Linked DNA regions of Nothobranchius furzeri. The protein of the gene in region 1 purifies or fractionates together with the protein of each later gene. This does not show direct contact. Links are inferred from orthologs where the notes say so. Each region holds a gene or a part of one and is shown in the gene's direction. Other genes may lie near its edges. The genes, in order: mos and fkbp5.

Region 1 (3,653 bases):
GGAGGGTGAAGCCCAACAGCAATAATACTGACTAACAGACCCACTAGCTGACTGGTTCTGCCGCCGCGTTTGCTCCCAGTGGCAGGATCTGGGTGGAGGTCATAGGTGAGTGTGATCGCTGTAAGCTTTGGTCACGTTGGCGTTGTTTGTAAATCGCAGCACTTTTTGTAAATAGAACACCTCAGTTCCTCCAGTAGCCTCTGTTCTAAACCCTTACCACAAATGTATAGATGATATATTTAGCTATTGTAGAGAACAGTTATATGTAAATACTATATAAAGTGTTTTATTTTTACAGGTACCGTTTTGGCAGTGTTTTCTTATCAGAGTGTAATTTTTGCTTTACTTGCACAACAGTTCTGCTTTATCAAGAGTTTTTTTTTAACGAGAAAAAGCATCTAAACATTTATTTTTCTAGGTTGAATAAAACTATTGGTCCCCTGGAGTAAACCCACCCACTGGTGATCAACAGCGTTATATTTATTTAACGCTGTGGGTTTTGCTCACACATCTGACATTTTACACATTAGAACCTAATGAAACAAATGACATTTTCACTAACAGACGTTTCCTGAACATGTTCAGAACCGTAATGCTAACTGATTGTAGCTCTGGACTGAATCCAACCCTGTTCTGGTGATCCAGACCCGTTCTAGGCCTGTGAGCTTGAGCGGTACCGGTCAACCTTACTGAATGTGTTGGTTAGAAACACTGCATTAGGATTGGAAATGCTGCTACGTGAGTCTGGAGCTCTTTAAGGTGCTACAGACATTCCTGGTCTTTAAATGCAATGTTTGTACTTTGCTCCGGTTCTTTCTAATACATACTTACATCTGTTTGTATACATCCATATTTATATAGTTATATAAAGTCTTTTTATTGTACTGTGACTTTTGAAGTCCTTCTGCAGACGTGCCTGAAACGCCCCTCCCCAGACAGAAACCGCTTCAAAGCCTGTTGGTTTTTAAATCTCAACTTTTCTCTATACTTCACAAACTACTGTTGTATTTTTCTACGTATCGACGATATAAATCACAAACATGTGTAGAGGTTGTATAAAATGGATATTAAGCTGCAGCTGTTGTTTTGTTTGAAGTTCATCCAAAGAAACAGATTATTTATTGCTCTGCAGAATAACCTGATTTCACTCACACACCTCGCTGCTATGAGACTCCAGTGTTTTGATTCTGTCGTGAGACTCAATAAAGAGAGAAACATCTAACACACACTCTCTCCTGGTCTTCCTTCTTCACTAAACGTTTCGGTTCTGGATCAGAACCAACAGGACTGTGTGTGGGCTGGTGTTTTATGGATGTTTAATCTGATTGATGGTAATTCAATAGATGTTCTCCAGTAGAACCCTCCAGAATATCTCAGTTTCTTTGTTATTATTGTTGTAGGTGAAGAACTGAGCCTGGGTGTTTTCACCAGAGCTCGTGCAGGTCGGGCTCATGACCTTTGACATGCTTTTATGCATCAGTCTGATGATCAGAACAAGAACCTTTTAAAACTGGAATATTTGTGGTTCCTCTCAGTTCGGTTCTGACCGCGGTTCTAGACCCTCTTCGAGGACCTACAAGAGTTCCAACCATGATGCATTGCAGCATCCCGTCACGCACCGCGGCAACTCACCTGTGCACGTGGACGCACCTGTGTTCGCTCGCTCGGCATGCCTTCACCCATCCCAGTCACGCGCCTCCTACCCAAGGACCTGTACCCGTGCGTGGACATCGGAACCTGCAGCAGCCCGCTGGCCCAACCGGGACGTGGGTCCACCTTACAGGTCCCGGCTCAGCGGCCGCACGGCAGAGTCACCAGCCGGTTCTGGTCCACCGTGATCCACTGGGACCAGCTGCGCTCCGTGGTGCCGGTGGGTTCTGGTGGGTTCGGTTCCGTCTATAAGGCGGAGTACCTGGGAGAGACTGTGGCTCTAAAGAAGGTGAAGAAGAGCTCAAAGAACCAGCTGGCGTCTCGGCAAAGTTTCTGGGCCGAACTGAACGCTGCGCACCTGACCCACAAGAACATCGTGCGCGTCCTCGCGGCCACCACGTGCGTGCCCGCAGACTTTGAGGTGGAGGACAGCATCGGAACCATCCTGATGGAGTTCGTGGGCAGCCGGAACCTGCAGCAGATCATCTACGGAAGTTCGGAGCTGCTGGAGCCGAACCGCTCTCTGAAGTTCTCGGCGGACATCGCGGACGGGTTGCGGTTCCTGCACTCCCACGGTGTCGTGCACCTGGACATCAAACCGGCCAACGTGCTCGTGTCCCGGACGGAAGTGTGCAAGATAGCGGACTTCGGCTGTTCCCTGAAACTGGACCGGGATCCCGAACTCATCAGTCCTTATTTGAGCCACGTGTGTGGAACCTACACGCACCGAGCCCCGGAGCTGCTCCGAGGAGAACCGGTCTCCTCCAAAGTGGACATCTTCTCGTTCGGGATCACATTGTGGCAGCTGCTGACCCGCGAGCCGCCCTACACCGGAGACCGGCAGCACATCATGTACTCGGTGGTGGCGCACGGTCTGCGCCCGTCTGTCCAGAGCCACTCGGTGTTCAGGTCCGACTGGGGGCGGCTGTGCGCAACGCTGCTCGGACGCTGCTGGAGCGCAGACACGCGCCTCAGACCGAGCGCCTCTGAGCTGCTGGATCAGCTGGAACATCTGGGTCAGCAGCTGGGTCCACACAGCGGGTTTTAATGTCCAAACCACAGAACCCAGACTAGCACTGGCTCTCAGGTGAACTCTGAGTTTTCATTCTTGGCTTAATAAATGTTGTAAGATTTGTTTGATTTCATTAAAATCATTTTAAAGGTTTCGTGTTTGGTTTTAATTTGGTTCCAGGTTGCTGCTCGTGGTGGACTTGCTGGGTGCACGTGGGCTGTGGATACACCCCCACCCTATAGGTTTCTATTTAAATGCAAGAATGATTTTATGTGATTGTTTTATACATGTGAATAAAATGAAATACTCTAGAGAAAATAACTTCACAGCCTAATAAAAGCAGCCTTTAGTCTCTGGGTTCAGACCATGTCATATAAAACTTCAGCTGTCTGCTTCAGTCTTCCAAATTTTGGACTCAAGAGGTTAAAATGTGTTCATATCAAAAATCTCATGGGATTTTTTTCTTTAACCAAAATCAGCAATAAAACAGGTTTCTATGGGATGTTGATATATAGAGTAAAAAATCTAAAATGACACTGGCACCGCTGGCCCATAGACACATTTCATGTGACATCAGACTGAAAACTTGGTGCACGCTTTGGGGTCACACTGTATTCCAAGTGGTGTTGGAAACAAAACGCATGTAGTGTGTGAGTGACACTATATTGTCTTGATGTCTGTGCATTGGGACATGTTGGCAGCAGGGAGGGCCAGAGGGACACATTGTCCTCCTCTTTCCAGAACAAGAAATGTTAGTGTGTTTAACCTTTAACCCTCCTGCTGTCCTATTGGCTGACCCTTCCACGACAGAGGATGGTTAAGCAGGGTTGATGGTTTATCCCTTGGGGTTCCATGTGGCAGGAGTAAGGTGGTGCTCACTCCTCAAAACTATAACAAAAACACAAGTGGGGTCCATTGGACTCTGCTAGGAATGTGGCTGGGTTGAAAAACAGAAGAAAAAACATGACAACCACCACTGATCAGCTGCAAC
Region 2 (3,827 bases), on another chromosome or scaffold:
TACTCTTTAAGGTTTAAACAATCTGTAAATTGTGGCATAAACAAAGAGAAAATTAAATATCAGCGTAAGGAATGACTAGAAAAAGGCCTCTTAGGTAATTTTTCTCAGAGAAAACTAAATTAGCTAAACTGGACTAATTAATCTGTTTTTGCAAAACCACAGCAGCAAGAGTGCTCAGCTCTGGGGATGAAGTTCGAAAGTTGTGGTGACATTTTAAAATGGATACAAACTTTTATCACAGTCCAGCAAATTTAGAGATAATTTGACATTTCAATACTTAGGAAGAAGTAGCTTAGCAACACCGCAGGCCCTGCTTCTTTTTGTCAAGGATATGCTCAAAAATACTGTTTATCTGATTTTGCATTAGTAAAAATAACAGATTCAGCAACAGTCAAATAAGCATCTTTTAAAATTTCATTTAAACTAAAAAATGCAAGAAAAAATAACGAAAGTAACTTGCAGGATTTTTGCTGTGTTCGTGCACACATTCTGTCGGGTTTCAGTGCATAAACGATGCACATCCAGTTTCACACTTCTCCAGCAGACATCATTATATCACAATTTTTTATTAACACGTCTCTCACTTTTTTATTATTTCCTCCTACATGTGTTGAATTCTGCACATATTTTGTTTTCTGCTTTAGCTTTATGATCTATAAAGAATTTTTGTTTTTCTAACAGATGGAGCTGCTTAACTTTGAAGGAGAGGTGCTGTCAGAGGATGGCGGCATCATCAGGAGAATAAAGGTCAAAGGTGACGGTTACAGTAACCCCAACGATGGAGCAAATGTCGATGGTAGTGACACAATTAGTTTGAAAGGCATAATTGTTTTGGTTTGATATAAAACATAAATCGGAGGTTAAATTGCATCTTGTTGTCCTGCAGTTCACGTGGAGGGACGATGTGGGGACCGGTTGTTTGACTGCCGAGACGTTAGCTTTACTGTTGGTCAAGGTGAAGATAAAGGCATTCCTTTGGGGGTGGACCGAGCTATGGACAAGATGCAAAAAGGAGAGTGCTGTTTACTTCAGTTAAAACCAAAGTAAGTTTCTTACAAATCCTTCAAAAATGCCATCTGTGTCATTTGCATGAGTCATTCTGAGGGGGCTTTCATTAACCACAGCTTGAATCTGTCATACAATAATAATAATTTTAGTTTGTTGTTTTCATCTCATGCCATTTACAAAGGATTTCAGCAGCTGTTTCTGCAAAATGAAAATGTTTTTTATAGCGACGTCACAAAGTTGTTTGCAGATTAATAATTGATATGTTTTTTTTTCTCATCGAAGTAACTAAATTTTGTGAAAAGAAACACTTTTGCATTTCCAATAAGGTTTAAGTACTGCAAAATAAAATTTAAGAATGCAACAAAATGCCTATTGGTAGGAAAGCATATAGTTTTTGATTTCTTCAATGGAAATCTGAAGCTTTCCTTAATGCTTCCCAGGGAGAGAGTATGTTTGATTGAAGAGTTCAGGAGTAACGAGAACACAGCTATTGTTCGGACTTCGAGATTTTTTTTTTTTGTGAAACTGCAACATTTTCCACTTAGTATTTACAGGTTAAATCTGAGGTAGAGGTGTTGTATAAGAACTGTGGATTCTTGTGCATCAGTAAAACAGGTTAAAGGACTCATCTCTGACTCATTTGCTAAAATGCCTGAAGTCCACCACTCTTCTAGCATGCAGCGTAACAGACGAAGCTCGTTATTTATGCTAGTTGTATTGATTAAACAAGTAATCGACTCCTTTAATGCTTAAGCATTATTGACATGCTTTTCTTTTTACAGGTATGGCTTTGGAAACGAAGGTAAACCGGAGTTCAAAATTGGACCAGACAAAGAAATTGCATATGAAGTTACTCTTAAAGACTTCACTAGGGTGAGTTTCCATTTTCTTTGATTGAACAAAGAAAACCTTTATTTACCAGATACAATACAAAACATATGCATGGTATTTTGGGTTCAAGTCTCATTTTAGACACATTTAAGCACATATCAAACCTACTACCTACAAACATCAAAACCCTAAATTAATGTTTGCTGTTTTATTTTAAAGGCTAAAGAGTCCTGGGAAATGGACTTGAGTGAAAAGCTGGAATTGACTGCTGCGGTGAAAAGCAAAGGGAATCAGTATGTTAAGGTAACGTATCTGTGATTGTGTTCAAATGAATCATTCTGCTTCTCATCTAAATAATCCTAACTTATTTTGAAAATCTATAATCAGGCAGGACGGTACCACCAGGCGGTCATCCAGTACCAGCGCATCATTTCCTGGCTGGAGTTGGAGTGTGGCTCTGGAATGGAGCAATACAAGAAGATCCAGGACTACGTTATGACGGCTCATCTTAATTTAGCGTTGTGTTTCCTTCGGCTAAAGGAGTTCTCACAAGTGGTGGACAACTGTAACAAGGTGAGCTGCGTGACCCTGATGATTAGATCACCACCTCCTGCAGCAGCTGAGTTCCTTCTCATACTGTGTGTTTGTGTGTTTAAGGTAATTGAACAGGATGCGAGCAATGAGAAGGCTCTGTATCGCCGTGGGGAGGCCCGGCTCCTCCGCAACGAGTACAACCTAGCCTTGTTGGACTTTCAAAGAGTGCTGGAAGTCAACCCGTCGAATCGAGCAGCTCGTGGTCAAATTTCCAAATGCCAGAACAAAATGAAGGAACATCAAGCCCAGGAGAAAATGATCTATGCTAACATGTTCCAGAAATTTGCAGAGCGTGACTCAAAGGTCTGTAAACACTCACTCAGACATATTTTTCCCTTCCCTTTGCTTTCCTTTGTTTAGTTACACTTTCCCACTAACGTTTAAAACCTTTTAAGTCTTAACTGACTCCTAACGTAATAGGAGCCAACACTGACTGAGTGTTGCCGTTGAAACTGATGTTTAAAAATTGTAATTCAAATAATTTTTCATAACTTATTTTTAAAACTGAACGAAACCAAACATTTAAAGAATCTTACTTGGATGGGCTCACACTCGGTCTGCTAATTTCAAATTTAAAGTTGTGGAACAGCGAAAACCATTTTTTAACGATTATTTCTGATTAGAATCGATCACTCTGAGTTTTTCATGCAGGCTTAACATGAAGATAGTCTCCTACACTAATCTTGTGCAGTAGCTTCTGATAGAAAATAGATGGTAAAACGTTAGGATTTGAAAAGCCTGACAGATCTACTTCACATTACATCAATTAGCATTCATGGACTCCGTCTTTGACTCACGACATGGAAGGCTGTTGTTGCTTTAGCATCCAGGAAATAGCAGAGAACGTCTCGGCTAGTTTAAGCTAACTTCAGCATTAGCAACTCCACCACACAGCAGAACTCCTACAGTCTTGTGCTATTTGTGGAGATAATAAATTAGCATTGCCCCCAATGAGAACGACTTACAAGGCATTCATTCCTACTAAAGACCACTACAAATGTATTGATTAAACGAGTGACCCACACCTTTAACTACTTTAAAAGAAGAAGCAGAAGAAAAAAAAGAAAGTTATGATTAGTCTATTAAATCATGCTTCCAGTTGAAATAACAATAATGATCTGAAATGTATAAATTCTGGCTGCACTATATGTATATATATATATATATATATATATATATATATATATATATATATATATATATATATATATATATACACACATATTTAATTGTTTTGATTTCAATCTGAATTTGTCCAGCCTTTCTGTGAATGCTTTGTTAAACATTATACTGCCCTCTAGTGGCAAGATTAAACATTTAAGTGAAAATGCAGCAATAAGAAATGTTATCAGAATATTTATGCTATTAAAGGTGTTTGAAACTAAAATTTTGGA

The links.
Region 2: the proteins of mos (region 1) and fkbp5 purify together in Homo sapiens (affinity purification with mass spectrometry; 3 studies listed by BioGRID and IntAct, counting the BioPlex papers as one, with this or other methods). This does not show direct contact. The link is inferred for Nothobranchius furzeri from reciprocal best matches to the Homo sapiens genes MOS and FKBP5.

The regions. Positions count from the first base shown.
Region 1 is NC_091747.1:36,176,816-36,180,468, forward strand, and holds mos (proto-oncogene serine/threonine-protein kinase mos), read left to right. Parts: upstream 1-1,515; 5' UTR 1,516-1,669; coding exon 1,670-2,698; 3' UTR 2,699-2,737; intron 2,738-2,842; 3' UTR 2,843-3,019; downstream 3,020-3,653.
Region 2 is NC_091743.1:66,795,454-66,799,280, reverse strand, and holds part of fkbp5 (peptidyl-prolyl cis-trans isomerase FKBP5), read left to right. Parts: intron 1-681; coding exon 682-796; intron 797-886; coding exon 887-1,043; intron 1,044-1,790; coding exon 1,791-1,881; intron 1,882-2,058; coding exon 2,059-2,142; intron 2,143-2,226; coding exon 2,227-2,412; intron 2,413-2,496; coding exon 2,497-2,736; intron 2,737-3,827. UniProt on the Homo sapiens protein: Immunophilin protein with PPIase and co-chaperone activities. Component of unligated steroid receptors heterocomplexes through interaction with heat-shock protein 90 (HSP90).